3 linked regions of the Mytilus edulis genome follow. The protein of the gene in region 1 binds, or shares a complex with, the protein of each later gene. Links are inferred from orthologs where the notes say so. Each region holds a gene or a part of one and is shown in the gene's direction. Other genes may lie near its edges.

What was found.
Region 2: phosphatidylinositol-glycan biosynthesis class F protein-like (region 1) and GPI ethanolamine phosphate transferase 2-like share a complex: the UniProt entries of both Homo sapiens proteins name them as parts of the ethanolamine phosphate transferase 2 complex. The link is inferred for Mytilus edulis from reciprocal best matches to the Homo sapiens genes PIGF and PIGG.
Region 3: phosphatidylinositol-glycan biosynthesis class F protein-like (region 1) and GPI ethanolamine phosphate transferase 3-like share a complex: the UniProt entries of both Homo sapiens proteins name them as parts of the ethanolamine phosphate transferase 3 complex. The link is inferred for Mytilus edulis from reciprocal best matches to the Homo sapiens genes PIGF and PIGO.

What each region holds. Positions count from the first base shown.
Region 1 is NC_092346.1:8,628,121-8,639,337, forward strand, and holds the start of phosphatidylinositol-glycan biosynthesis class F protein-like, read left to right. Parts: upstream 1-5,912; 5' UTR 5,913-5,946; coding exon 5,947-6,207; intron 6,208-8,085; coding exon 8,086-8,177; intron 8,178-8,853; coding exon 8,854-8,970; intron 8,971-11,005; coding exon 11,006-11,114; intron 11,115-11,217. Other genes in the region: F-box only protein 48-like, read right to left, coding at 4,585-4,749, 4,946-5,175, 5,801-5,867.
Region 2 is NC_092344.1:91,763,802-91,774,827, forward strand, and holds the start of GPI ethanolamine phosphate transferase 2-like, read left to right. Parts: upstream 1-6,215; 5' UTR 6,216-6,267; coding exon 6,268-6,612; intron 6,613-8,187; coding exon 8,188-8,397; intron 8,398-8,886; coding exon 8,887-9,072; intron 9,073-9,749; coding exon 9,750-9,894; intron 9,895-10,311; coding exon 10,312-10,518; intron 10,519-11,026.
Region 3 is NC_092347.1:92,505,502-92,516,912, forward strand, and holds the start of GPI ethanolamine phosphate transferase 3-like, read left to right. Parts: upstream 1-7,245; 5' UTR 7,246-7,300; coding exon 7,301-8,052; intron 8,053-8,834; coding exon 8,835-8,994; intron 8,995-9,984; coding exon 9,985-10,134; intron 10,135-11,411. Other genes in the region: bifunctional peptidase and arginyl-hydroxylase JMJD5-like, read right to left, coding at 85-254, 956-1,107, 4,756-5,033.

The sequences.
Region 1 (11,217 bases):
TTTTATCATGTTTATATAGAGTCTAAATTCCAAATGTTGCTGTAATAATTATTTAAGATACAAACAATAGTTACATAGTACACGGATGCCCCACTCCCACTATCATTTTCGATGTTCATTGGACTGTGAAATTGGGGTCAAACTCTAATTTGGATTTAAAATTAGAAAGATCATATCATAGGGAACATGTGTACTAAGTTTCCAGTTGATGTGACTTCAACTTCATCAAAAACTACCTTGACCAAAAACTTTAATTAAAACTTTAACCTGAACTTTGCACTATCATTTTCTGTAGACCGTGAAATTGGGATCAAAACTTTAATTTGGCATTAAATTAGAAAAATGTTTTTTTGAGGAACATTTGTACTAAGTTATAAGTTGATTGGACTTAACTTCATCAAAAACTACCTTGACCAAAAACTTAAACCTGAAGCGGGACAGACTGACAGACAAACGAACCGACGCACATACCAAAAAACATAATGCCCCTCTACTATCGTAGGTGGGGCATAAAAAAATCATATTTTACACATAAGGTTGATGATTTGATTCCATGATGTAAACACTACCAGTATTTGTTTTAATGCGATGACTAGGATATATATCACTGGCTGTTACTGTCTCGTAATGTTCTTTAGAAACTAGATACATTGCTATAAGTTTTCAGAATTCAAACATATCTCTGATCAGTCAATTCCTTTTTAGCTGATTTTGTTGTTTGTTCTATTTTGCTGTTTCACCAGTCCCAGGTTAGGGAAAGAGTTTAGAGCAAACAAACATATTGTCACAATTTATTTAACCCCACCATATTCTTTATGTGCCTTTGTATGCCAGGAGTATGTATTCCAGTGGTTGTCAGAGTAGTCATCTGTTGTTATAGTAATTAAATTTATATTTAGACCATAGTTTTCTCTTTTGAACATTTTACACATTTTGTTATAATACTGGAGCCTCCTTTTAGCTATCTATAGTATAGAGTTTTGCTTATAGTTAATGACTATACTGTAACATGCAGTTGTTTTAAACATCCTTTGTATTTGGTGGATAGTTGTCTCTAAGTAATACCACATCTCATATTTTTGTACTATTGTATTAACAACTTGTTGAATCTCTATGCAATTGACCATTTTTTATTTTTCATATTACTGACTTTTGACTTTTGACTCCCAGTTCTGTGGTAGGTCATCCTGGTACTCTGTCAATTAGGAGCAACCAAACAAAGTAAAATCAAATATATAATCTGTGCAATTTTGAGGGAAATTTACTATTGTCCAATGATTTAATCATATACAGAAAAATTTAAACGATTAAAATCTTTAATTTACTTATTTATATTGCTCTTGCTTAACCAAGTAACAAGATGTCCTACCACAGAAAAGGTAACTTGTTGAAAAAATATTAATTCCGGAGTCGATAGTTGGTAAAATGAAAATGGACTATTGAAAGCTGACTATATGTTTCAAAAGCCAGCTGAATATTGAAGAGCATGAATAGACCTTTAAATGTTTTACTTATAACTTTTTGTTACTTTATGTTGTTGGGTGATAGTTTCGTTGTCATTTAACTCACATCAAAAACTACCTTGATAAAAAACTTTAACCTGAAGCGGGACAGACGGACAGACAAACGAACAGACAATTAAACAGACGGACGAACGGACGCACAGACCAGAAAACATAATGCCCCTCCACTATTGTAGGTGGGGCCTAAAAAATCATAATATTTTACACATAAGGGTGATGATTTGATTCGTTGATGTAAACACTATTTGTTTTAATGCGATGACTAGGATATATATCACTGGCTGTTACTGTCTCGTAATGTTCTTTATAAACTAGATACATTGCTATAAGTTTTCAGAATTCAAACATATCTCCTATCAGTCAGGTTTCAAAAGCCAGCTGAATATTGAAGACCATGAATAGACCTTTAAATGTTTTACTTATAACTTTGTGTTACTTTATGTTGTTTGGTAATAGTTTCATTGTCGTTTAACTCACATCTTCCATAGTAATCTTCACCTTTTAATATGAACCAAATATAATATTTTGTCAACATTTGTTCATACCAATTTTTGCATAATTTTCCATTTTATTTTATTTTTTAGGTAATAGTATATTATTTAATAGTTTTTGTGGAATTATTTAAGTATACAGATACATTCCTTTACTTTTATGATTTGTCAATATTCATTATATGTTTTTTACAATCATTACTGTTAGTCTTAAACAATAGATAGCTTTCTAATGGTGTAATTTGATTTGTATATATATTGCTTTGTCCAGTCTATAATGATTTGTTTAACAATAGAACAAAATTTTAGACTTAAGGATGTACTAAGGTGAGGTTTAGAAATTGGGGTAAAATGTTCGGACTCCTTGGTATTTTTCCATCAATCTAGGGTAAAAAAAATTGCCCCATAACACCCATTTTTCTCTGTATTAAAGTCTTCAATAGGTCATAAAAGGCCATTTTCCAAAATTTAAGCAATTTCTTAATTTTTGTTCTTTCAATTTGTGACCCAAATAAAACCAATGCAAATATAAGGTAAAAGTCCGAGTCAGCCTTTTCCCGCCTTTTTTTAAAACTCAAATATCTCAAAAAGTAGGTCCATTATCTATCAATATTTTTAGCTTATTTTGTTCCTTAACTGGTGCTCTTTCAAAATGTAGTATCAAATTAAATTTCTTAATTTTTCAAATTTCACCTAAGTACATCCTTAAATATCTTTTATCTCAGAAGGGTAACAACAATTTTGTGTTTTTCTGTGTGTTACAATCACTCATAGTCCACTTTTTGGTGCAATGGCAAATGAAAATTGTAAACATAAGTCATGAATTTCAACCAATGAAGGCTTGAGAACCAGTAAACCAAATGTTCTCTATGCACAATGGTATGTATTTAGAGAAACATTTGTGACATTGAATTCTGCATTTTAATTTGAGTGCATAACAGGTATTATTACAAACACATTTTGATCATGAAGTGTGCTAATTATTACAATGTGGTGTATAAACCAGTTGTTAGAATGTAAAAAGTTGGTTACATGGATGAGAAATAATAAAAATTATTATAAAATGATTTTATTTATTTACAAGCACAGCCTGTGATGAGCACAGTTGAGAAAATACTCTACAACAATCAATGTTATAAAACATTAATAAATTAACACATCAAACAATATACATTCATAAACAATCAAAGCAATAAAACAATCACTCTTTTAAAATCAAGTTCCAGACCTGATAAAAAAAAAAAAATCTACTGCATAATGATTCAATCAACACAAAAACAGATTTTTTTGGGCCAAACTCTGTGTGTAATGAGAATGATTTTTTTCTAAATAAAAAAAACATCCTGCAAGATGGTAAAAAAAATGTGTAGGACAAAATGTCTATAAATATACGTCTACATATACCTGTATATATACAATGATAGCCAGTATCTCCAAAAAGTCTCTAAATTTAATATGTTTTTGGTCAATCAAATGTACAAAATGACTGAACGAAATGTTCCAAATTGTATAAATCTCATACTTAAGGAGGGTGTTAAAATAAAGCAAAAAATCACCAATAGAAATCAACCATATGGTTATTTATTCCATAAAATTATTTTCAGAAAATGATAAAAAAAAATATATGTTTTAATCTTTCATGTTTTCTGAATACAATGTAAATATTTTGTTAAATTATCTCCCCCTGAATTGAACACAATTTGGTAGAAATTATCTCCCTTTGCAAATTACATGTCTTGATAAATGATGAAATCAAATATTTTTGTCTGTATCTTTGAGAATTGGCAAAGATGCTTTGTAGAACATAAATCTAAATTTTGTCTTAATATCTGTTATATAGAGACATAACTGTTGAAAACAAATTTAAATATACCATGAAAAACATGTATTGGTATTGTTTAAACTCTGTTTAAAATAGTTAGGTACACCAATATGGAATTTAAGTAATTTATGTTCAGTCTAAGCATTTTTAACAATATTCTTCATCAATATGAACAATATTGACTGCTTTTAAGGTGTTGATATATATCTCATTTACTTCGATATGAAAACAACAAACATATATTCTGTACATCTACAGAGAAAACAACTTGCAAATAAAACTAAATCTTAAAACTTGTTATGAATTAAATAAACAAAAACATAAACATAAAATATCGTAAATAAAAAAATTACATAAAAACCTTAACAATATAACGAAAATATATTCAAGCTGCCCTATAATAGATTGGTAAAATAAATTAAGTCTTCAACAGTGAGACAAAAATATTTTTGTACATGTCATTTTAATAGTCCTGACCTTATAAAGAAAAATATTTAAACTTCTGCAGTACATTATATTTCTGTTTATATTTTTACCTTAAAACATTTTTTTTAATTGAGAACCAAATAATTGTCAAAATTAGACCTATCATCTGCACTTTTTGGCCTTAGAGTATTTAAAACATTAAGAAATGAAATTGTCATTGGTAGTTATCAGTTTCAGTCTTTTTTAAATCCTTTTAGTAAGCTGTTCATATTTATTCTTTTTTTTCAGCTGCTGATATCTTAGATAAATGGGAAAATATGAATCAACAACGATCCAGTTCCATCTGGAATATTTCGCCCCAGCTCTCATCGTCCATTTTACAAACTGGTTTTGGTGCCAGTTCTTGGTAATTTTTTGGATTACTAAAATCTCCTTTCTTCCATTTCTTCTTTATGTCATTAGTTTTGTAATTCATCTTAAATGTTTCCTGAAAAAAAAATATGAGGAACTGTACATACTGGCAAAAAAATGAAAATATATGAATTTGATAAGTGTGATTTTAGTGCTTGAATTATAACTTCATTAATTGTTCATTTTCAGTATATCTTCAGAAGACCATTACTATGTAATGTACTTCTGGTATCTTATACATTTTTAAAAAGCCTTTCTTTGTAAATTATTACCTGCCATGATCTACCAAGCTCCCTGTCTACTTGTATCAGCCTCCTGGTTTCATGTAATGAAGAACATAGCTCCTTCCATAAAATATCTGATTGACCAATCACAATATTCCATCTCTTACAAACCAACGAAGAATTGTTCAATGAATCTACATTACAGTAGCTAAATATCACAAGAAGAATTTCATTTGGTAGCTCATCTATTGTAGTTAGACTGTCACACATTTGTATACCTGTAAATAAAAGATCACAAAAATTACCATGATATAATGTACATTTGTATGATAACCTCATTTTTTGACTTCTACAAATATCGTATTTTGTTGGATTGGTGTCTCATTGTGATGTATACCCAATATCTCCTGGAATCCATGACTAAACTTGAGTCAAAGGTACACAACATTCTGATTTGTATCTATTAGGGAACTGCTGTGGTTGATCTTGGGTTATTTCAGGGAAAACATTTTATCGAACATTGAAACATAATCATTTTAAGCTACTGTTAGCATCAAATTGTTTATGTGATTCATCTTAATTAGTCTTTTTTTTATCGTCTAAAAGAAAGTGTACACTTTATCCACCGGCACCGAAAATTACTGTTAATGATATTTGGCAATATTTTTTACCATTATTCGTCATCAACCCTCATTATTGGCCCTACAAAATTCTTCATGATTTTGCACTCAGGTTGTTTATCCAGAGACAATCAGCTCTCACGTTCTTTTCTTAGGTTGCATTTATGAGAACGAAAACAGATGTCCAAAATTTGTAAGCTGACTGTAGGAGGGGGCGTGGCACCTCTAACCGAATATTTTAGCTTTAAAGAACTATTGTGTATGATTAATGCAATATAAATACCTAATTGACAAAAAATATTCCCCTTTTCAACGTCTTTTCTCTGAAACGTGAAGATGTGTATTGACATGAACAACTGACGCTCGCGTGTATTTGTTTTGACAGAAACCGGAACTCTTCAAAGGGAAGCAATCGGATCGTAAACAAAGATGTCTGCCCCCATGGCAAATCGTTTGCCAGCGAAAGAAACTCTCAATTCCTTGCTAAAAGGACATCTTATATTCTCTATTAGTACATTGATGTTATTATTCTTTAGCATAAACAATGAAAATCTGTTTAGTATAGTCAAATATCGCTTTATTGTCACAAAACTATTTATATTGTTCATCAGCGTATTCAATATCATTCTTTACAATTTTATGAATATCCATGGAGGTACATCTCAAAGGAATGCAGGGATACTATCGAAAGTAAGAATGTATGAAATAATCACTGGCATGTATCAAACACAGACCTTCCCTTTTTCCTAAGAAATTTCTGATAAAAAATTATAATTGGTACCTGGTTAGCTTTGTCTCCTTTTGAAAGGCTTTTCTCTATACTACTATATAGTCCAAATAATTAAGATTAAAAAAAAAAGAAGCTCTTTCAAGATGTCATAATTCACAGGAAGTTGTCAATTATGTGTACTACCTCTTCTTTCGTTAACCAGCAACGGAAAAATACCATCAAGCTAAGGGATGACATCAAAAGTTCAATGTAGGATTAAAAACTTAATTCACATAGATTTTTTGCTGACCCCTACCCCCCTTCTTAACTTAATTTAGGAAAAATTGATTTACCTATATGCATATATGTAAAATCGATTTTAGATTAACAAAACTTGCAGCAATGTTGACCCCCCACCCCCAAACTATTCGATTTAAGTTTTTTATCCTACATCGATCTTTTGATGTCGTCCCTAATGCTGTGTCATTAAGTGCAGGTGCTGTACAAGTTGTGATCATCAAACCTGACAAAACCGAAAAGGAAATAAATTTATACAAGTTTAAAATTGTGATCAGTGCTGGATGAAAACATGGAAGATCTTTAGAGCATCACTGTGTCTCTGGTCTCAGGATGGAAGTGTGACCAGGGCTTTTCCTTGAAAGTCATTCAAGTGTTCAAGTCGGTGTAAGTTGTGATGTTTCCTGGTAAATGGTTCCAGTTCCGGTTTGTTACAGGGAAAAAGCTGAATTTGTTTTCTGAGATGTTGCATTGTGGCTGCATGATGCTGTCTGTGTGGCTATGACGTGTTTTCTTGTTGTTGATGTGGTATTTTTCAGACCATGTCCCAGTGTGTACTGTAGTATTTGAGAATTTCAGTGGCTACTTGGTGGTACAGTATTTTCTGAAATAATTTTAAGCGATTTGTTGTTTTTCTAGTATCAGGAGTAGGTTGATTCAAAGGTTGTATAATTGCGGTCATAGAGCCGGGTTGGTAGTTGTAGTTCTTGTGTTGTACCATTTCTATACTTTTATGTCCTTCTTCCAATAGGGGTCCCATACTGAACTACTGTATTCCAGGTGTGGTCTTATCAGAGCAATTTACATGTAAGCATGTTGTTAAATTTCCTGAGGACATCTACATGTATATAAATTTCTTTTAACAAAAACATTTGAGAGGTAATGTGATGGTTCCAATTGAGCTAGCTGTCTAGCTCCACCCCAAGGTATGGGTTATGTTTATGTTATAGCAGTTTTATTTGGTGCATCATTCTTAGAGTGAGTGCAGTGTCACCTGATTGGTGTTCAGAACGACTCTAACTTCTACATGTCTACACAAAAAGTCCTGGAGGCTGGAACAGTCTTGAAAGATACATGTATAGTGGTTGGACCAACCAATGGCAAATATTACTTACAAGTTGACATGATATAAAAATGTACCCTGCTTTGTCACAGTTTGTGCAAGAAATACTATAATATTGACAGAAATATCAACCCAAACGTTTTTAAAATCAGTATTTGCTGCCACTCAACTAACCACACAGCTTTTTATAATTAAATTTTAAAAATTTGATCTATGGTAAGGGACTGCAAACTAAGAAAACCCATATTGTCTCAATTTTCTTTGTTATAGCGTTTGAGGCCTTTTAACATGTTTAAATTTTTTAAGAAAATCTTCATGAAAGCCTCCCATCTATGATAGAGGGATAACTGTTCCCATTGACATGATTGATCATGTTGGTTAGTAAAAGATTAGTAAAATAGTTACTACATGCATATGTAATTTTTCATATTATCAATGTTCATCTTTAATGTTTATATTTTAATGGAACTTGTATTTAAACATATACTTTTTATTTCAGATAAGAATCATTTTGAAGAATGGATCACTGTTATTTTGTTCATCAATATTTTTTCATGTAATAGCAGTTTTATTCGGTGCACCATTCTTAGAGTGAGTACAGTGTATATTAGACTACCCTTAGCAGCAAAAATTACTTATAAACAAATATGTTCATCAACATTTGATAAGACAGGTACACATGGTACATGTACATGTAGATTCAATATTCACTATTAAGACAAAAAGATTCAAACCATCTGATAAATAACAATTCACATTTATACAATCAGAATAAGTAACAATTCACATTTATACAATCAGAATAAATAACAATTCACATTTATACAATCAGAATAAATAACAATTCACATTTATTTATAATCTGATTTATAAAGTCTTTGTGCTGCTAATATTTCAATGTTTTTTTATGGGATAAAAATTGACTGGAAATAGAACATAATGATAATATAGACATGATAGATATTCCTGTTAAATGAAACTTTCTTTTTATAATATAGCCAGTATAAACATTATGAATTTAAATTTTACAATTTAATATCTATGACCATTTTCTTGGTAGCATTTACCTATGACAGGTAGTTGTATGCCGAGTCTTAAAAATATCAACCATCACATTGGCATAAACCCCATATTCACTAATCTCTCAACATCAGAATCAAATGAGAGAAGACAAATTTTTATTGATAGAAAAACCAAGTTGACATTTGTCATTAACTGAGTACAGTTTTAACATTTAATGATTACATGTATTACCTTGCATTATTAGATCCTCAGCAGAGACATTTCACTTTGGTATGACCATGTCAGCTACAGTTGTAGTACCAGCTCTGTGTGTAATGGGCACCAATACAGTGCAATGGATCAGAATATTTGCACAAAACAGGTATTTTCTTTTATTCATCAATGAACCATTTTACTTTGGTATAGTTAGAATGAAAACTGCTATTTGTTAAAATACACTTCTACAAATACTATCAACTTCTTCACTTAGAAATAAGATTTCTGTTGGTTATTCAGATATATGTAGAAGAAAATAAAACCGTAGGTCATGTAGGTTGTGACCAGAGATGGGTCCGATTACTTTCAATGTAATTGATTAAATTACAATTACTTTGTCATTTGTACGATTAAATTAAATTAATGATTACTTCATTTCTGAAAGTGTCTGATTAAATTAATGATTACATTGGCAAAGTAATCATGATTACATCTGATTACAATAAATTAAAAAAAAAACGTTTTGAATGATGAGAATGAATTAATGTTTAATATAATGTTAGTTCTTTTTAGAAAGAATTTTGTTTTATATATTTTAAAATGATAACTTCAAACTTCATCTATTTAATAAACCACAAAAGTTCACTACAGACATACATGACATACATGAACATTGTGTCACCAATTACACTTTATCATCATTGATCTCTGAATCATTTTGACTTCAATTGAATATGGCTTTATAAAGAGTTTGCTGTTTGTATTCTGACCTCTTCCAGACTTTATATGTATTTCAAGGTGCAGTTTTCAGAAGTTAAAATATGGATGAAATAAAGTTAACAGATAAAAATTATGATAAAAATCAATAGAATTGTTTAAACAAATTGTAAACAAAATACAAGTTCTATAAGTCAATGCAATTTACATGTCCAGTCCAAGTACATACACAAATTTGCGTATATTAAACAAGATATTTGTCCAACTTTTAATTTAGTTTGTGCTAATTAGATGAATTTTCTCATGTCTGATTAATTTTTTATCATATATATTGTCCTACAGCTATACTCAATTGGAAATTGCAATAAAAACAAACCTTAATTGGTTTCCTACCTGTCAACTGAAAGTTTACAATAATAACAATATTAACAAAAGATTATAATTCAGGGTTAAAGAAAAATATAATATTGCTTAAATATAACAGTTTTTTTTTTATCAAATATATATATATGTACATCTTTAAATTGTGAATACATGTACAATATCTTTTACTAAGGCCTTCTTAGGCTAATGATGACTTTTTTAATATTGTAAGTTTATTTTTTACTGAAGTATACAAATCAATTAACATGCTTGATAAAGTAAACCAAACTATCTTAACTTGTTAAATATCTACTAAATTAGAATAACAAAAGGTTCATTATTGACCATAAACACAGTTCAAGATTTTTTTCATTGTAATCAAAATGTAATTAGGATTACAGGGCATTTTGAAAAGTAATTGATTAAATTAAATTACATGTAATCAAATTTTTGGCTGATTAATGATTACAATGATTACTTGAAAAATTGTAATCAATTACAGCTGATTAAAGATTACAATTACAATTACCCCAAGTCTGGTTGTGACCAAATAATTGTCTTCTATATTTATAGAAAAAACAAAAATGAATGTTTTTACACTGTACCACCAAGTAGCGGCTTTTCTACTGATATATAATAACTAGAATCATGCAAATAAACTTTAGAAAAGGCTTGTAAGCTCATCTTACAAAGATGACGCTTTTTCTAGACCACAAAACAGCACACGCAAAATAGTCGTTGCAAAGAATTGTAACCTTTGAAATTGTTGTCGCGCACTAAAACCCCCATGGGCACTTTCAAAACTTGGCTGGTATGGTAGCCACTATAATTTTTTTATTAAATTTGAATACATATTCACTGTAACCCTTTTGTACTCTTACATATATTTTACCTGTTGAATTTCCTTTTTCTTTTCTGATACAAGAAAGAAGGAGACTTTGATTATAGAAATTAGTTGATTGGTATCTATGGAAACCAACAGGTCATTTCATAAAATAGTATAGATTTATTGGATGTATCTGCACAGTATCGGATTATTTTATATTTCCTGCAATGATTGAAAAAATACTGTTTTACACCCAAGATGACCTGACTTGTAAAGAATTTTATTTTAATTTTAGTCCAGAACTTGGAGCAGAGTCTATAGTGTATTTCTCAACTATATGTAGTATAGTAGGTGCCTGGTTAGGAGCTTTCCCAATACCCCTTGATTGGGACAGACCATGGCAGGTAAATATTGTACTCAAGCTTTGAATTGGTTGATGTAGTGATTATTAGAATAGAAAGGAGAACAGTACGTCGTTGTTGTCAGGTCCTTGAAAATGAAACATTG
Region 2 (11,026 bases), on another chromosome or scaffold:
CAGATCAAAATTGAATTTTGGTGGTGTCACTTTAACTGTTCTAGAGTTATGCCCCTTTACAAATGAAAAAAAGCTGAATTTCTCATTTCTGTTTCTAACTTAAGTTAGCTGCAATTAAATTTAACGAAACTTTTACACAATGCTAATTACCACAACTCGGATCAAGTACAAATTTTGGTAGCATATCTTTTTTCTGTTCTTCTGTTATGTCCCTTTATATGATATGCAAGTGGGGGCATCATATGTGGCCCATGGACACATTCTCCATTTATTAAAGGAATGATAAGTTTTGTCAATATTTTCTAATTTACTAACAGTAACTTCTTAAAAATTACAATAAAAACTTCAGATCACGAAAATTACCTTTGAGACATGGACAACTCCTTATTGGTTTATTGGGGTTGAAGATTTTTGGGCTTTTGCCCATTTATTAGGCAACTTTTAAAGAAATTATCAGCAAGCACAGATCTATGAATAAGTCTTATGTGACAAAGAAATGTTCGTCAACTTCTTAAAGGAGATGTTGCCCTAATCTGTTTAGGCCCTTCATTGATAACTATTACCATTTTGTGTGATTTAGTCTTTGTCTTTAAAACTCCAGACAGGAACAAAATGATAAGCAAGAAGAGATTTAAATAGGTCATCATTTGTGAAATTGTTATTTGCCTTCTTATAGTAATAGTATAAGCAATGTAGAGTAGAGTCAGCTTTCCTTCCTAAAGCTGGTGTGTTATCTCGAGACATTGTGCCTTCCTCCACATAAAAAACTGACCACGAAATGGCAAACAATAGTGCTGTACACTAGCATTGAAATCTAAACAATCCTTTCACCATATAATTAATACACTTGTTACAATCAATATATAATTGACAAACAATAATTCCTTACAGTGAAAACTTTAAGTTCGGTGCTTTATTGCTAAAGAATATGGAACAAATCCTTGGTAATATGTGGTATGGATTTGTTGAAGGCAGTACAGTGACTAGTTATTAACTTCTATGACATTTGGCTTTCATTTTAAGTTTGCAAATTGTTTCCCTTATTAAACTAAGAAAAAATAGCTTGTGAAGAGTCATAAAGCAGGATGAAGCGTAAAAAGAATCTTAGGCAATATAGGAAAGGTGTACTGACGTAAAAAGAATCTTACTTTAACGGCACACCCAATCTAATATAAATAAAAAAGAAGATGTAGTATGATTGCCAATGAGACAACTATAGGTCACCGTACGGCCTTTAACAATAAGCAAAGCCCATACCGCATGGTCAAGTATAAAAGCCCGGAAATGACAAATGTAAAACAATTCAAACGGGAAAACTAACCGGCCTAATTTATGTGCAAACAAATGAACGAAAAACAAATAGGTTACACATCACCAAACCAAAACCACTGAATTACAGGCTCCTGACTTGGGACAGGCACATACAGAGTGTGTCGGGGTTAAACATGTTAGCGGGATCCCAACCCTCCCCTAACTTTGTTTTATAACTGTATTCAATATATTCCAATCTAATTAAAAACCGATCTTTCATCGCTCCTGTTTCTGATATGTCGCGTGGGAGCCAGAAACAGGAGCGATGAGAGATCGGGTTTTAATTAGATTGAATATATTCAAGGCGCTTATTTATGAAATGTAGCAAAAATCTAACAAGTGGTGGATTCTGTGAAGGAACATTCATACTAGTCCGAGATTACTCTGACGTCCAGCGGCTGTTTTGCCAGACAAGCTGGGGCGGCTGTTTTGCCAGACAAGCTAGCTTGTCTGGCAAAACAGCCGTTGGACGTCAAATTGCATACATGGAAAATGCCCGAAAAAATATCATCTGCATAAAATGGGTAAAAAAAAAATTTTTGCGTCGCTCCGTTCGGCAGGCTGCCTCCCCTTACAGGCCAGGCAATTTACGGCCCTGAAAACCACCAAGAGAAAATCTGATCAGGGAAAATTGTTGAGATATCGTGACTGTACATATCAGTCAAATTGTTGGTAGACTTATAGGAGTTGTAGCCTTTTGATTTTGAAAGCTATGATAAGCAAGACATAACCTACACATAGTTAAAAATGACTCAAACAATCGGACGACTCCTTATTGGAGTAACTGCTCTTAAATGATAATATTTTATCTTAAAAACTTGAAAACTATAAAAGATGGACAGAAAATTTACAAGCAAAAGTTATCAACACTGAAGTCAAGATCTGTAATTCAACATGGCCGAAATACGGCGTCAGGTGACTCGAGCTCCCTTATTGAAGTTATTGCCCTTTATGACGACTTTCACCATTATTTTGCATTTCCCCCTTTTATTTTGAAAACTAGACAGGAGCCTGTAATTCAGTGGTTGTCGTTTGTTTATGTGTTGCATGTTTGTTTTTCGTTTATTTTTAGCTCACCTGGCCTGAAGGACCAAGTTCGCTTTTCTCATCACTTGGCGTCCGTCGTTGGCGTTAACTTTTTACATTTTGAACCTCTCCTAGAGAACCACTGAATGAAATGAAACCAAACATGGCATGAATGTTCCTAATGAGGTGCTGACCAAGTGTTGTTACTTTGTAGCCGATCCACCATCCAAGATGGCTGCCAGCGGGGGACTAAGTTTAACATAGGACCCTATTGGAAATACATACAAATGACTTCTTTTAGAGAACCACTGAATGGAATGAAACCAAACAGCATGAATGCACCTAATGAGATGCTGACCAAGTGCTGTTACTTTGTCGCCAATCCAACGTCCAAGATGGCCGCCAGTGGGGGACTTAGTTAAACATAGGACCTTATGGGAAATACATACAAATTTCTTCTTTTAGAGACCTACTGTATGGAATGAAACCAAACATAGCATAAATGTTCCTTCCTTAATGAGGAGCTGGCAAAGTGTTGTTACTTTGTAGCCAAATTTTATCTTTTTTTAAATGATTTCAAAAACCCAAGTAGTCGGGTGAGCAATAGAGGCTCTTAAGAGCCTCTAGCTGTAAATAAATAAGGCTGTAAGTTTTCTCGTTTTAATTGTTTTACATTGTCATTTCAAGGCCTTTTATAGCTTACTATGCGGTATGGGCTTTGCTCATTGTTGAAGGCCGTACGCTGACCTATAGTTGTTAATTGCTGTGTCATTTTGGTCTCTTGTGGAGAGTTGTCTCATTGGTAATCAAACCACATCTTCTTTTTTTCATATATAATAGATAAAAACAAACTTTTTATTGCAAAAATGATCAGCAATACCATATTTTCAATTAAGCCATCATGCACAGGCACTCGTCTCTTTATTTGTTTACCTATTGACTTTTAATAGTTAATTGGTAAACAAAAATCTGACGGACATGTGCCTCTATCATCCTGATTGGAAATTGTAGTCGACTCGTTCTTGGAGGTAATTCCCTTCAATAAGTTTTTATGATTTATTTTTTTCGGAGAGTTTCTACCTACTATTTTGAGAAGTGTAAATAGATAAAAATGTAGATGTAAACTTCAAAGCAAAAAACGATCAGCAGGACAAGATCTACAAATATGTCTGTAATTGTAAGTTTTAAAACTCTTTAGATCTCTTTATAGAGTTATTGCCCTTTAAAATGGATTTTTACCAATAAATAGCAGAGGCTCTTTAGAGCATTTAGTTATCAATCAGCATGCACAGAATCATGGAGATCATGAAAAGTAAGATGATAGAGATGGAATTGAGCGATTTTTTTTAAATTTTACATGCGTTTCTTATTTGTTAATTTAACTTTGCCATATTAGTTGTAAAGTAGTTCTGTGAATTCATTTTTTTTCTTCCAGTGTCACTTCCAGTTTTTTATCTGGATTTTGTTTAAATTGAGATGCTGTCTTAACATGCACTTGCTCTATGCTGTTATAGGTAAAAGTACTAAAGAGAGGTTTCGTGTTTACAGAAAAGCTATTGGCGAATAAGGGAAGGACAAGAAACTCGAAGAAAATTATTCAATAACAATATTTTTATAAATTAAGAGAAAGCCCATGATCATGTGATATTTATAGAAAAATTTCACTTCATGTCGGTTCCGTGTCGTCACTTTTAAACTATTTAACCATTATTTTTTTTTAATTAGAGTTGTTACTGGTGGCAAAAAGGAGCTATGGTTTAAAATTGATGATTTCGAAAGTTGCCGTTCAGTAGATATGGTTCTTGATAAATAAGAAAGCAGCGAGAACATGCACGAAAACGACTTCAAAATAAAGAAAAGCCAGCCTGTTGTCTATTTGTAACTTATTGATTACCCGCTGACATGTACTTTTGGGGCAAAATCTATAGACGATAGAGAAAATAATGTTCAAATCAACAATATTAGATCGAAAACTGAAGAGATTTTAGTAATGGATAATTTTGGTTTTGTAGAATCAATGATCAGTGGCGAATTAAGGGGAGTCAGGGTGCCCTGGCCCCCTTTTGTTGTAAAAATTGTGGTTGATTATTTAGGGAATCACTGATGCATGACAAGGGCGGTCCCCTCTTAGGCAATTAATGCCCCCCTTTTTTACACAAATTTCTGGATCCGCCACAGATGATAGACAGAAACTAAATCTCGTGAAATGTATATAAAAATAAGATATGATATAATTGCAAAAAAACATCAAACCACCAAAGTGCAATCCATACTGTATAGTCGGTTATAAAAGACCACACATGAAAAATGTGAAATAATTCACTTCTAGGAGAACAGTTATCGGCCTAACTCATAACAAAACTATCATTAACGAAATAAGCAAAAATGATAGACATAAAACAACGAACCCCATTAAACTACAGACTCCCGACATGTGACATATAAAAAAGAAGATGAGGTATGATTGCCAACGAGACAACTCCACAACAGACCAAATGACACAGAAATTAACAATTATATGTCACCGTGTGGCCTTCTTTATACAATGAGCAAAGCCCGTTCCGCATAGAAAGCTTTATATATGGCCAGTGGTGGACCCAGGGGGAGGGTTACGGGGGTTGGAACCCCCATTTTTGTTGGACGATCAATGCATTTGAAGGGGACATATAGTTGGAACCCCCACCTTTTAAAATGGCTCAGTGGATCCGCCCCTGATGCGGCATTACGGAGAGCACATTTGTGAGCGCTCAACCCTTCCCTTGGACCTTGGTGTGACGGATCAACGTATGATGAACATAAGCGCAAATAAACATGTATTATCATATAAAAATTCATGAGTGTTATATTGCAATAATGTGTACAGAAAAGTGAACCGTGCCGGTGGCATGATCGAATTGTCAGATTATTCTTCATAGAAGTGTTTGTCCCATAAATGAGGTATATCAGTGACCGTTGTGGATAGAAAAACGCAAAAATAATTGAACTAGGGAATAAATTACGGATTTTGGGAAAAAAGGGGGAGGGCCAAAAACAATTGTTCTGTCCCCAAGTACCTATACTGACCTATACTGCATGCGGACGATATTGAATTTACCGGTTCATGATTCTATATAATTAAGTCTTGGACAAATAGATAAATGTATTAGTCCAAGTTATGATATTAACTTTGAGAAATAAATAAAATAGTTAGGTCTATATTATGAAATCAGCATTTCTTATCAAATCTCATAAAATTTTCGCCAATAACAGTAATATGGGGACGAAGTCCCCAATAACAGTAGAAAATTCAATAAAAAAAAAAAATTCGGGAAAATTTCCCGAATTTTTCATTGTACTAATGAACTCAAAATCGTTCAATTTTTTTTATGTCATGTTTTGGAATCCCGGACCTGCGCAGAAATGTACAATATACTTCCTTTTTCCGGTCTCGTTTGTATGAAACTTTGAGTAAAATATATATTTATCAGTCTAGTATAAAATAGGAAGAAACGTGCAATACCAATTTCATTTTTAATAATTCCTTGATATGAAAAAAACGTTACCTAATGATAGCGTTTCTTTGTTTACATTGCATATGACGTCATAATTTAAATAACGTCACAACTAAAATCCCTAACAACAGAACCAAACTCGGAAACGTTACGGTATTTCCGTTTCTTTTTTTTTTGACAAATAATTAAGTTACAAAAAAATAATTCATACAGACTTCGTCCCCATTTACAGGTAATGCCTGCCTCATATTAGTTGTAAATAAGATGATACTTTATGCTTTTTTAATTCGAATCTAACTCTTGGATTTAATATTATACCTATGTTTTGTCTCAGAAGTTCACTGAGGATTTTGAGTGATAAAGAGAATTTCTGGAATTAAGGAGCAAGGGAAATAACTCTAGAAATCAAAACAAGATGTCTGCGCCCATGTAGAAAAAAATGAAAATATTCATTATTGCCATTATTATATTTTCCACGTTACTAGCATATTCTGTTTTTCTTAGGAGTTTCATATCCCCGAAGAAAATATTGGACGACACATCTTCACATGAAAATGTTTTTCAGAAGTTGCACTCAAATGATATTATGATATCAAATGTGTATAGAAAAATGTTTTCAGAAATGCTCTATGAAAAAGTAGTTGTTGTGTTAATTGATGCACTAAGAGTTGATTTTGCTGGAGGTGAACAGATGCCATTTCTTCAAAGTAAAAAAGAATTAGATGGAATGAATTCATTTGTGGCCATAGTAAAACCTCCAACTGTTACATTACCAAGAATAAAGGTGTGTTTTACATCACAGTTAAAATTGATAGTTAATTGAGACCAGGGACTTTGTATACTATGTTTATTTTGTACATACCACACCACTTTCTATTGAGAAGAAAACAGTACATTTTTAGTAGAATGTACTGTGCCAGGCACAACACTATCTATAGATACAAAATACATTGTATGGGAATTGTTATGAACTGCTCAAAACATTATACTTCCAAATAAACATGGAATTTATCAAAAATTTCAAGCACAAGAAATTATGCAAATTCCATACTCATAGACATGATAGACGTTTTAACTCAATAAAAGTACAATTTAACTCCAGGAATGTAGACTAGAGTTATCTACCGTTTGAATAATTATGTCAACAAGGAATTTGCATGCAAAACATACAAATCAATTTCCTAAAATTAAATTGTACAGTATTGAATTCAAATGACTTTTACCATAAAAAATTATTAAATAAAGAACTGCTGAACCAACACCTATGTTTTGTGCTTCCGTAAGTAGATACAAGATGGTATGCAGGGTTGTCAGATAAAAATCAAATACCTCTACATTGACGAAAACACTTAAGTTATAAACTGCAACTTTTATTGTCGACATGTTTCGCCAAATTAGATTGCATCATCAGGAGACAAAGTATACAAAATTAGAACCCCTGAAGTACAAAAAAACTGCATCTTGTATGTGACGTCATAAGTGTCCAAACCCTTACCACTTCGACTGGCTTCCCTTTGGCCAGAGGTACTACTCACAATCGCGTCGGGAATGGTGTAAAGTGGTTTAACTTTACCCGCTAAAAATTTCTTGGCAATGTACCATCATTCTGTGCCGTCAGAAAATTAAATGTAAAATCATTTAAGTGTGAAGCCATAAAAAGGATCTTTCAAAAGTGAATGGAGATGACTTAAAAAAGCCAAGATAGACTTCATGTACTACTCAGAACCTACAGGATATTAAACATTAAAGAAGTAAGATACAAAGAACATAAATCATTCCCACCCTCATTTCCAGTTCAACCAACAATACCAAGAAATTTTGCATTGATAGCCTTTTAGAAAGACTTGGATTGGTTGAGCATGATATTTTTGAAAGATTTTAAAGTGAAGTAATGTCTATTTTTGTTTTGCATAGTGACAGTTAACAAAAGTATTCAACAGCAAGCTGAATTAAACTTCTCCCTTTGATATTTGAGGAAAAAGTTATAATGTACATGTCATACCCCAGTTTTGATAAATTTAGGGTTGGGGAAAATGAATGGGTTTTTTTTCAACAATCTTCGAAAATAAAAAAAAAATTGACCGCTTTTTTACGCCCGATACTTATATATCGAATGCATTCGGTGTTTATCATAATATCTATGGAACAACTGGGCCAAGAAAAATGTCAAAAGGTTATTTTTACTGTTTGCACTGTGACCGTCTAAAAATAGAAATTTATGTTTCCTTAAGGATACATTCGGCATGAAAGTGTTTTAACATCTCCTTCCAAATGAAAAGTTAAAGAATGCCACTTAGCATCAAAGGTTAATGTGTTTACATATGATAGTATATCCATGCATGTTGAACATGTTTTGTAGGCATTGACAACTGGCAGTATCCCAGGGTTTGTAGATGTAGTTATGAACTTTGGTTCTTCATCCTTGACAGAGGACAATGTTGTGACACAAATGAAGCATCATGGGAAAAAGATGGTATTTTATGGTGATGACACATGGCTTAATCTATTCCCGGACCACTTTGTCAGATATGAAGGGACAACTTCATTCTTTGTAACTGACTATACCGAGGTTAGAGTAATCATTTATTAAGTGATATTAACTTACACAACTTACACAAATTTCCATTATTATCCATAGCATGTTATCAATGTCACCATTTAGCAGAACTTTGTTAAATTTAAAAATCAGCATAAGTTAAACACTGGAAAACAACTGTAATTACATTGTGTAAATTTCTATTTACATCAATTGATTTTATACAACACAAAATAACAATAGAAAGTAAATATATTATTATAGAAAATTTTCATTGACGAACATAAAAAAAATATATATAGTGGAATGTAATATTTTTTTTAATTTGTTGAAAAAACCATTAATTGATATGTAAAGGATATGAAATGTTTAATCATGAAAATTTTTAACAAATGTTTATATGCATACTAATACTAAGTGTATAATTGGCAAAAATGGTATGGCTAACAGCAGACTTTATATTTGACTATATGTTGTATGATTTTGTGTCTAAATACATGTAATTCATCTGCATGATTACAGGTTGATAATAATGTGACCCGTCACTTGGAAAAAGAGCTTTCTGAACTTGATTTTGATATGATGGTATTACACTATCTTGGGCTTGACCACATAGGACATATAGCTGGTCCCTTCAGTCCACTCATAGGTCCAAAGCTAAAAGAAATGGATGATATTATCAGAAACATTTATCAGGAATTGAGTAAGGTATTGTTTAAATACTATAAAAATCAATCTATTGAAATATTATTTGAAAGATTGAAGATCACAAAAGGTTTTCATTTTTTTGCATATACACATGTTTTTTATTAGTTTTCTGTAGGTTACAATAAATACTTCTTTCGAGATAATTGTTAATTCAGAATTATTCTACTTGTCAATATGTTTAATTATTGCAATAATGCACAGGGATAGATATGTTAAAAATAAAATTTCGATTTAATTTTTATAGCATTATTTGTATACAATGTTTCCTGTAATCTTAATAATTGATCTCATATTTTAAACCCCCACTCTATGATTGATTGGTTGTTGGTTGCTTAACGTCCAGTGGCAAAAAAAACCACTCTAAGAGTTGGGATTATATTGTAACATATTGTTTGTCTAATAAGTATCTATGTCATACTTTTTCTCAGAAACAACTAAACACAATGACCATATTTGGTCAGCAGCTTGACAGTAATGAGTTCTAATGTGTGATCTGTCCAATAAGTATTTCCTGTTTGCTGAATTTATTATTTCTAATATTTTCATCACATTTTTCTTAGGAACTGTTATATTTTTCACATGAATTTACCATCAAGAAAACAATTAAAAGTTATTGAGTAATTGAATTTGTTTCTCAACATTTGGGCAAAAAGTTATTGACAATATTTCTTTACCAGAATGATGTCCCCAGTTTAGTGATTGTGTGTGGTGATCATGGTATGAGTGACCAGGGCGGACATGGAGGAGCAACTGAAAGTGAGATATTGGTACCAGTCATATTCCTTAGAACAGGAGAAATCAGTTCACAGAAGAAAAAGAAAGGTATTGACAGAGAGCTGGCAATGTGTTTATTATCTTTTTTCAACAATCGATGGAATTGTATTTGATGTGTATGAAATTTTTTTAAGGGAATATATGTCAACAAGACAGCAATGTAACAACAACAATTGATTGCAAGCTTCATTCAAATTTTAAAATATTACTTATTTTCCATACTAAATGTCAATTGTGAATACAGTAGATATATAAAAATAAAAAGATGTGGTATGATTGCAAATGAGACAACTCTCTACAAGAGACCAAACAGATCTGTTAAACAGACTGTATTTCTCAATGGACTGCAAAAGGTTCCTGGCTTTGGACAGGCAATTATGCTCTTTCATTTTACTCATTCAATAGTTAATCTAAGATATAACAAATATATGATTTAATTACTTAAATGATTATATTTTTTTACAGATATTCCTGTTCATGAAATAGAACAAATTGATTTAGCACCGACATTGTCTTTACTGTTAGGAACACCCATACCAAAGAACAATATTGGTACAGTAGTAACAGATGTATTTGCTGGTTTTGATATACAACAGAAGCTTGTAGCATTGATGGTCAATGGTCTCCAGGTATCAGAAGTTTTACAACATAATGTTGCAGACTATGAATTAGGTAAAGTAAAAACAAACACTGGGGAAAATGAAAATGAAACAAATTTTATCACTTTAGAATTTATAATGGAGTTGAATTTTTTAGATTCATATTTTTTTTTTCACCTTACAAAAAACTGATATTAAAAGATTTTTTTCTCATGTTTGTTTGCATGTTTTGTTGTGTGTGGGACTCTTTTGCAGTAATAAAACCTAACATCCATATTTTAAGAATTCTTGTTTTGTTTACAGGGAATAAAAGGACAAGTTTTTGATTGATATGGTTTGTCTCATTGAATTCCTCAGTATTCATTTTTGGGGTAGAAGAGAAAATAATGACATTTTGGTGTTGCTTAGTGTCCAAGCAGTTAAACTGAGTGGCTATTTATAGCCAGTTAGGAGTCTTATAATATGTTATAACAGACTTATGTCAGATAAAAAGTCAAGCTTATAATGGAGTTTCCCTTAAAACCAAGAAAATTCAGCCCAAACACAACTATACCTATTTTCTAAACATTATGAATATATGG
Region 3 (11,411 bases), on another chromosome or scaffold:
TTGGAGAGACAGAAATGGTACGACACACAAAAAATCTTCATAAACTTTGATCTTTGGTGCCTGTTAATGTCTATTTGTTAATACCTTATGAAACATGATCAAGTCTTTGTTTCCATCCAGTAAACAGTTGATGTTGTCGAGTCCATCATTATGGAGAACGGACCTTGTTCCGCCACTGCTGAACCACATTATAACGGATTTTATAGCCTTTTCTAAACCTCCACATTGTAGAGATACTGGTATTGTAATATCAGCTGCAAGAAAAGAGGGACGAAAGATACCAAAGGGACAGTCAAACTCATAAATCTAAAACAAACTGACAACGCCATGGCTAAAAATGAAAAAGACAAACAGAAAAAACAATAGTACACACGACACAACATAGAAAAGAATAAACAACACGAACCCCTTTAACTTTAAAGAAGGTTGACAATTTTCAAATATGATGCAATGTATTAATTTATGGTATATTTTTTATGTTGTCACATTATATATATAAAAAGAAGATGTGTTATGTTTGCCAATGAGACAACTCTCCACAAGAGACCAAAGGGACACAGAAATTAACAACTATAGTTCACCGTACGGCCTTCAACAGTGAGCAAAGCCCATGCCGCATAGTCAGCTATAAAAGGTCCCGAAATGACAATGTAAAACAATTCAAACGAGAAAACTAACGGCCTTATTTATATAAGAAAAAATGAACGAAAAACAAATATGTTATACTCACATACGAGAAAAACATTATTTGTATGAAAGTTATTAAAAATACTATCTATATATAGCCTACATTTGTATCTTTATGTCAGAACCATATGAGGGATGCTGTGTCCTATGATAACTGGGCAGTCATGATGGAATAACTGTCTAAGACTGAATATTGTGAAAAGATTATCATACTAAAATACACAATATAAGTTCATTCTTACAAAAAAAAAGGTTCATTCTAAAATACCTTTCATTTCTGTTGCTACGTCATGAACCATGTATACATTTGATTGGTTGTATATCTGAAGGAACTTTGACATGGGCATTGTGTAAGCCTGACCATTACGGTCCTCTTTCTTCCCTCCTTCCACGTCCACAAAAAGGCTTCCATATTCCTTGCTACAATACGTTAGATTAAGATGTATGTACATTGAAATCGCAATTGAGATATGGGTCATTATAAAAAAAACATGCAAAACTATGTTATTGGGTCTTTATAAGTCACAGACATGAAAATATATCAAAATAACACTTGCATATGTTAGATATGAATGTTTTGTGATACACAATATACTGTTTACAGTATGAAATGTTATAAAAACATCCTTAATGTTTTCTTAAACCCTTGAAGATAGCCAGAATTAACTGTTATTTTTTACTATAAATCCTTTCAGACTTGAAATAGGACTATTATTCATATCATTTGTTATTATGATTTATCACTTTTTATTGCATTTTGATACATACAAACATTTTTTAATGATTTTGGGAGGTGTATGTTGGTTTTATAATAACAATTTTTACCAAAAGGAAATGTAACATTTTTTAAGTCAATGGTGTTACCAAAGGACAAATTAGTAGAATAAGAGTTATCTTTCGCAAGATTTGGGCATTTGCAACAGTTTCTCCCTTAGCAATGGTACCTGTAAGCATGTTATGCAAAAGAAAACAAACAATTATGTTGAAGATTTAGTGAAAAAATCGTAAAAGTAAGTAAAGGTTATATCGTAATTGGAAATAGTGTCCATGGTGTACCCTTTATAAAAATCATTTTTTGAAAACATTTCCTTAACTTTGAATAATGAAACATATTGATTATAGAAACCAGTAAAAACATATAGAATAGGGGAATGGAGCACTTATTTCGTAACTGAATCTTAAAATACACCTTAAATCATTGGTGTTACTGTCAATGGTGAGACCATTATGATAAAATAACACCATTGACCAGTTTAGTAACACCACTGAATATATCATGACAATCAGCATTGTTTTGTGTTTTTTTCATGTTTAACAAGCTAAACATCATATTATTTATGAAAAACAATACTTATTCAACAATGTTTTAACAATATCATGTATTACATATACACAGTTTTCACAAACTGATGTATGCTGGTAACACCAATGACACTATTTAGTAACACTATTGACATTTTTAGTAATGGATGTTATATTATATAATTTGAGATTTTTTAGCCTAAGAATTATTTTTTTATCTTTTTCTTTTGCTCGGTGATCTTGGCTTTGTGTTCAGTACTTGATAAAGGTAAAATTTGAAATGTGATGTCATTGGTGATACTTTTGTGCCATTGGAGTTACTGAAGGGTCAGTGGTGTTACTATATAAAAATGAGACATTTTTTTTAAATCTTTATTCATAAATGAAAGTGTTTTTAGGTCGAGTACGAAGGATTAGGTATATCATTATCATTTAACCTTATACAATTCACATATATTCAGTTTAAGTGTATTTTTTAGTATTTACAACGGCCATAATTAGGACAGCCAACTTCCTGAAATTTATGTTTAAATAGAATGCACAGCTATATGAATAATGTCAATAAGTCGTAATTTAAACCTAAACAACAAATTGGAACAGTATTTGATGTTAAACAATAATATTTAGTACCTAAATGTATGCTTTAAATTTGTAATGTTCACCATTGACACGATTATTTCAAAGGACGACCTAAAATTGTTAAAATTGAAGAAACTCTTCATTTTTCCCATTGCATATTTTTGAATATCGTTGCTACCATACTATAGAATAGCGGGACACATTTAAAAGTTTTAAACAATGACATAATTTTTCAAAATATTACCTCGTCGAAATTTGCACTTTTTTTGATAATGACCCATATGCTTAACTAAAGCACTTTAACACCCGATCAGTGCATAACCACATGTGCTTATAGGGCATACAATCATGTGGAAAATAAGAATCGAGGAAAAGCATATTTATTAAAGAATTTTATTGTACTATCGTATGGATAACAACAAGAAGACACCAACATTGTCTATTTGATATAAGATTTTAAGAAATTTTGAAAAAAATAATGTTTGTATTTGTCCTATGCCTTTACTGACATTTGTTATACTTTAGTTATTGGATACAAATTAGGCCACAGCTAAATAGTTTTACTGGATTCGCATCCGTACTCGTTTTAAACTCGTGTTTTAAACTCATGTCCTTCGGGATGGGCAAGCATAGTTAGGGTAAATACTGAAATAGATTATAATATTAAGACTCTATTGATCTAGAAATAGACAATCAATATGACACCATGTAATGTTGGTAATTGGTTGGGTAGAAACGGACATTACAAAAATTTTTGTTCATATTTATTTCAGTTTTTTTTCAAATTGAAAAGAATATTCTGCATGGTTCTGGAAACATTTTCTATTGTTGATTTTTCAACCAAGACTTCTCTTGACAAGCGGCCAGTGAGTATAGATGTGTCAGAAAAAAATGTAACAGCTAATCACTAGCCTAGTTTGGTTATCATTTAGTTGTTCGTAAAATTCAATCGATTTAGGCAATTGTCGGTGTTCTGCTAAGCTTGTGGAATGAATATAAAAGGTAACACACAAAAGTACAGTGACTGCTTGTTGCTGTCTTCAAAACTTCACGTGGCAAATATTTCATGCATGTCCAAGACACCAAAGAATAGAGCCAGTAATAATAAAATTCCTGGCATTGTGCCAGTCATGATATTTTTCATGGAAGTGTGCTAGTCGTGATACTATTCTTGGAACTGAGATAGTAAAAAAAATACTCTTTGAACTGTTTCAGTCATGATAATTCCTCATGGAACAGTAGTCAATAGTGTCATTCATGACAATTCCTAATGGAACAGTGCCAGAGTCACAATCACCTTCCTTGGCCTTTCTCTTTCTATTCAAAGCAAGTTTCATAAAACCAAGCAAGTCAAAATAAAATGCCTGGAATTCTGCAAGAAGTTTCTTGGAACTGTGGCAGTCACAATAACGTTCCTGGAACTTTGCCACTCACAGCGAGTTTCCGGAAAATGTGCCAGTCACAATAAAATTACTGGAACAGTACCAAACACAAGAAGATTCCTTACGTGGATCAAAAACAAGTTCCGGGGTAAAACTAGTTGTGTGAGTATTCGACTCCTACGCTATAATCTTGACGAGAATCTGATATGGTCAAAAATGACAAAAACAAAATTTTAGCTAATTTCAGATTCTTTATATTTAGCCCCAAGTTGTCTTCTTGTCTATTTTTCCAACATTTCTCCGTACTTTCTTTTTTTTTTTTTTTTTAATTTTCTATGTTGTTAACCCCCGTCCTTCAGGACCACAACATTAATTATAGTTATAACGGTATAACTAATTGGTGTTTTCCTTATATATATCCGCATTTTTTATGTATGTTCTGTACAGATATAGGTCGATTTCATTGGGTTTTTTTCATACCTTTTTCCATCAATATTTTTTGATAAAAAAACATTAATTTGTAAAAAAAACCCTTATCACGTCTTTTTATTTGATCTATTAAACTTCGTTTATAGAAGTGCATGTTTTCTTAGCTAGTGCATGTTTTATTCCTACAATGGTCTTTCCATATAAACAATAGAACATACATTCAATGTATAGGATTTATGCAGAGTTACACAGTTTGGTAAATGAATTTTTAATTTGAATGAGACACAGATCCCACTGATATATGTTTTACTTGTTATACAGTTTTCTAATTGATTATTGATTGGATAAACATATAGTACATATAAACAGTACATACTCTAAGTATTGGTCAGTCCATAACTTGTATGCTGGAAATTGTCCGTTTTCTAGAACACCTTTCACAATAAACGGTACACTTTTGGCAATGTAATTTTCATAAAAGTCTGTAGGAGATGGGAATTCCTTCAATAATGTAACTCCTCCAAGAGATTTTCTATGGTGACCAAGAGGCTTTAAATGTCCAGGTATATTTTCACACGCGGTAAAGGATAAGAACGTGAAATAAGATGACAAGAAATAAACAAAGTTATATTTTCCAACATGGAATACTGCCATATTGAAAATATTAGAAACAACCCGGTAAAATCGACTGCATACGTATCCTGTTACAAATTAATGTACTAGTATATTACAAAAAATCCCCTTCAACATGTTCAACGCATATATTTATTATTTCTAACATAGTCAATACCTAGAAATGTATCTAAAATATAACTTTGACACGTGTCTGTATAATATTATTATGTTTTACATATTTGTCAGCAAGCTTGTTAATTATTTTGTTTTGTATCATGATCGTTTTTTTCCTGATTAGTGTAGACATTTAGATCATATATTTGAAATAAACTATACATATGTCCTTCGGTTCCGTTTGTACTAACTTACGTGCATGTACGTACAGGATGTATATATATTAAAGTATATATGTTGATAAATCATGCATATTATAGTTACAAAGTGAAGTACGTTGCATCAAAATCCGAGATCCTTAGATGTCAGTTTAAAGTAATATCAAACCTCAAATTACAAAATAATGATGCATATTTTGTTTAATAATTAAAAGGACAGTTTTCATTATAACACTTATGTACAAAACCTTTTTTTGAAGAAAGTTCTTTTATTTGTTAACATTTAGAAGAAGTTTACTTTATTCTTATTGCTTGCTTCCAGCTAGGAAGATCTAGGAAGCAATTCGTCGACATATTTTCCGTATGCAAGTGACCTTTAAGTTAGCCGTTAACCCCTCTCGTAAAAAATTCGTAGATCGTAATATGGATCTGTCATTAAAATAAACTCTTATCTGATTGTCTACATGTTATACACGTGCTCAAAATCCATGCTCCTTTGTTGATTGTTTACTATAAGGTGACAATTGGTAAACTACGACTTCAAAACACGACAATTAAGTAGCTGTCCTATTTTCACATCAAAACAGACAGTAAGAAAATGATAAAACCGTGCTCAGAAGACTTAGTTTATGATTTACATGCATTGGTTGAAGAATTGGATAATCATTATGTTTCACCAGTCACTCGTTTCATCATGATGACTTTAACGTTTCCCTCTTTCAAACTATGATGTCAAATGTCAGCTATGAAACTTTATATAAATGGTGATTAGGTGGGTTTTAGATTTTAGCAAATCCAAAAGCAAATGGTTAAAAACCTTTGAAAATTAAAGACCAATATAATGTTATGGTTTCGATTCATGTTTCTTATTCATAAATTTTAAACTGTTTGAATAAAATGTTAGTGCAACTACACATATGAATTTTAAAAAATAAATAAATAAAAGAGTTTTGGGAATCAAACTGGCACATCAATATATCAAAACAGAACTACGTACGCAGTGTTAGCAATCCTGGCTATCCTTGAACCATTATTAACTCGTAGGTGCTTAACGAGCTTGACTACGCACAGGGTCGAACGGTCGAAATAAAAAGAAATTCAACTACTGTAAGCCGCTATCTTTTATTGTACAAAATATCGAAAACAATCTGTCAACTTAGTGAGCGGTTCATTTCTCTGTGAAATATGCAAATTTGGATAGCGGAATGCATTCATATATGATTTGTAAAACCTTCATTTTAATAGCGAAAATTTTATGTTTTATCTAATTATTATTTCTGATTTTACAAATACCGTGAAACATCTTTTAATAGATTAATTTTGTTTCTTCAAACTTTAGCCTTGTAAGGAGAGGTAACTCACGATTGTCAGACTAACTTTTAAAGAGGAATATGTAAATAAATTATTTGGTACTATTAGATAATTGTATTAGTCCCAGAGTCATTTGACATGCCTTGTTTTCAAGAAGAAAAACGAATCGCGTAATCTCATTTTATTTTCTAAAAGCACACAATTAGAGCTATGTTTAGTTTTTGTTTTAATATAATTCTACACAGCTGGTTCACACACAGAGTTTTTTCCTTGTATAACTTTTACAAAATCTGTTGAGATGCTGTCAGGTTATCCAGTAGAGGTGCTTGTCACATGAGCTGCTGATGTTTTTTGATAAAAAGTTCCGTTAGACTATTAGAATTTTTATATAAATTTATAAGATTGCTAGAACTTCTGAAATTTTGCAAGTTGTCGCATAACGTTATATGCGCATGATTTTTTTTAAATGATCGATGTTTCTGGTCATGTCTTTTAATCGATATATTTCTCATTTATATGTGATCATCTGTTTATATTCTTTTGTTATTTTCTTTAATAACCGGAAATTTGACGAATGCTGAACCGAAAAAGTTTTTTTTATTATTTCCGTTTGGTAACTTCCGTAAAACCGGCGAAAATGTGAAGAAATTTTTTAGGAAAAAAATGGGACAAAACTTTAAATGCTTTTTCCTTTTATGCTTTCTAATCTTACTTTACGTTTGTGGGTTGCTTATGTTTGCAAAAGGATTTCTTTTGAAGAGAGTGGTTGTAGAAAGAAACAGTACCTGTAAAGTTGACTTTGCCATGCAAAGTGACATGCACGGAGAAAAGGGTTGTTGGATGCATGTCCGTTATAAGAAGGCTATTATAATCGTAATAGACGCATTACGATATGATTTCGCTTCATTTGACCCCACAGCAAATGATTCTATTCCATACAAAAATAGGTTAACTTTTATTAAAAATTCTCTGATGAAACCAAACAATGCAAAACTTTACAAATTTATAGCCGACCCACCTACGACGACACTACAGAGATTGAAAGGACTGACTACGGGAAGTCTTCCCACATTTGTTGATGCTGGATCTAATTTTGCTAGCTCTGAAATAACAGAGGATAATTTTATAGATCAGTTAATTGGCCACAACAAAAGAATAAAATTTCTTGGTGATGACACTTGGATTGGACTGTTCCCTAACAGATTTGATAAACAGTTTCCATTTCCATCATTTAATGTGAAAGATTTACATACAGTTGATGATGGTGTCTTAAAACACCTGTTCAAAGAACAGAGCAAGAATGACTGGGAAGTGTTGGTTGCTCATTTTCTTGGTGTTGATCATTGTGGTCATCGATATGGTCCAAACCATCCAGCTATGAGAGACAAATTGTCTCAAATGAATGATATGATTAGGTAATACAATGTACACCTCCAGATCTGCAAATATTTTTATTATCCTGCTTTTACATGCAACATGTGCAATGTATATATTGATTGTATTAATAATATGAGACAGGTGTTACCTGTGAAAGGGGACGAAGTCCATATCAATTACATATTTTAATATTCAGAAGAAATGGAATTACAGTAACAAATCAGATTTTGGTTCTGTTGTTACTCAAAGTCTCATGACAAACGAGGCTGGAAGAAAGACAGAAAGAGTTTTCTGCGCAAATGCGTGAAAATGAAAAAGTTACAAAAAAAAGTTAACGATTTTGAATGTTCATTAGCACATTGGAAATTATTTTTTTAATTTTTTTTATTGATTTTTCTACTGTTATAGGGGACTTTGTCCCCTTATTAACATGATTACAATGTTTTATGATCATAAATCAGATTGGGTTACCCAAATGTTGCAAAGCACCTGCCACCTGCCATACCTCTATGACAAATATGTTGTGTCCCTGCATACAAATGTTCTAAATAATTTTGTTATTGTGTGTAAATATCTTGTCTTTCCAAATTTTTTGCCTCTAGCATGTCTAGCAAATGTTGTGACCTGAGACCCATCATTACTTGTCATGCTTGTGTTTGTCTTCTATCAATTTATCATATGAAAAGTTAACATTATTTGTTAAATAATAGCAACCTGTTTTATCCTTTGCTACAATGTAGCATGTCATTGATTTTTATACTGAAAGTAATTCTGATTCTTTTAACTTAATAATGCATTTTTTTGTAAATCTGTTTTAAAGGAATGTGACAAGGTTGATGAAAGATGACACAATATTATTTGTGATGGGTGATCATGGGATGACTAAAACAGGAGACCATGGCGGAGACAGTAAAGATGAATTAGAAGCAGCGTTATTTGTGTATAGTCCTGCACAGATAACCAGCCAACATAATCTATGGGTAATACCTCAGTTAAGACAAGAAAAAATGCTGTGATTTCTTTTACCAACCTTTAAATTGTTCAGAATTTCATGGTTCATTCAATAGTATAAATTGGGCTTTCATGCATATGGCTTTGAAAATAACTACTAATTCTCTAAGAATGGTACATTGTGTCCTTTTGTCATTTGTGCTTAGTATTTGTCTAATAAGTTGATTCCTTTCCAATTAGATTCCAATTTGTACAGTTTGCTCTTGTGTTGTGTTGTATTTCAGTTGCTGTTGATTAGATTTGGTTTCATTTTTAATTTTTTTTTCTTCAAATTTTGAGTGTAATTCTATAAAGGAAATTTATATTCTATTTTCTATAAATCTCAAGATTTTCCTTCATCTACTCAAATGTTTTAACAAAATATGCTTTGTAGACTAGTTCTAGGTCATCTTTCATTGGTGGAATAAGAGAATTAAAAAGAAGAGCATATTAATAAAGAATGCTTTATAAATATAAAAAAGAAGATATGATATGATTGCCAATGAGACAACTCTCGATAAGAGACCAAATGACACAGAAATTAACAGCTTTAGGTCACTGTACAACCTTCAACAATCAGCAACGCCCATACCACATAGACAGCTATAAAAGGCCCCAAAATCACAAATATAGAACAATTCACACAACAAATCTAACAGGCTCATTAATATTAAAAAAATGAACAACTAAAACTAATATGTTACACAGCAACAAATGACAACCACTGAATTACAAGGGACTGACATAAGAACAAACTAATTGAAATGTAGGGGGGTAAGTTAGTTTGTAAAATGTAAATTATTACTCATTACAAATGCTTGAAGACAATAATATGGCATCTGGTAAAAAATTGGTTGCTGCTTCGACAGAATCATAATTAGCCAAAAAATAAATTTGAGTATGACTTTTCATCTTACTTTCCCTATGAACATGATGAAGATACAAAAATGATTGCTAATACTTGTACTTTGATGTTGTAGAAAGAAAGGGACACAATTTCCCAAATAGATTTTGTACCAACCATCTCTCTGCTATTAGGTATACCAATACCATTCTCTAACCTAGGCCAGGTGATAGAGGAACTATTTACACATTGTCCATGGTGGCAAACTAGCAGTGACATCAAGAAGGTAATTATGAACAAAACAGAAGTACATGTATATGATATATATCACTTTGTAAAAATTACTAAAACCACAAGTCAACAATAAAATAATAAACTGTTGTGACATAGAGATATGTGTTGCCTGTGTGATTTTTTTTTTGTACCGATACAACCTACATGTATGTAGGAAACAGCAAGCCTGCATCTTGCTTTGGCCATGCTAGCGACTTTAGTTCCAGTTGAGACAAAGACATGTAGGAGTGATCAAATGTACATTGCATAATATGCTTGGATACACATACTAAGGCTATTATAATCGTGATAGAGGAACTATTTACACATTGTCCATGGTGGCAAACTAGCAGTGACATCAAGAAGGTAATTATGAACAAAACAGAAGTACATGTATATGATATATATCACTTTGTAAAAATTACTAAAACCACAAGTCAACAATAAAATAATAAACTGTTGTGACATAGAGATATGTGTTGCCTGTGTGATTTTTTTTTTTGTACCGATACAACCTACATGTATGTAGGAAACAGCAAGCCTGCATCTTGCTTTGGCCATGCTAGCGACTTTAGTTCCAGTTGAGACAAAGACATGTAGGAGTGATCAAATGTACATTGCATAATATGCTTGGATACACATACTAAGAACTTAAAAGTTATTAATCTTGAACAGTGAGTCAGAAATTTGTACTTACATGAAACTAAAGATACAATAAATTGTTACATACATATATAGTTCAATCAGTTGTGGATATGGTGATACAGATATTGTCTTTATTCTAGTGATTCCATCCTGCTTACAATTTAGCTGTAGTTTGAGTATGACTATGAGTGTTTATTAAGAAAAGCAAAACCTTAATTTAATTTCCATACAGTAATTTGATAGTGTTGGTTACAACAGAAGTTATTAATACATATATTATTTCTCAAAAACAAATTTCATTTTATGTCTGTACAATGTAAGTCACAAAGTTGGTTTCAGTTCTCTAACTTAAGTTTGACTAAACCAAATATTATGAATTTTATACACAATGCTTATTACCACAAATTTAAAACACAGATCATGTTTAAACTTTGATGGCGTAACTTTTACCGTTCTAGAGTTATGCCCCTTTACAAATTGAAAAATTGCCCAGGTTTTTTGGTTTTCATTCTCTAACTTAAGTTTGCCTTTATTAAGTGAAATGAAATTTATACACAATGCTTATTACCACAGAATACAACTCAAGTTCGGATTTTGGTGGTGTCAATTAAACCATTCTAGAGTTATGTCCCTTTACAAAGGGAA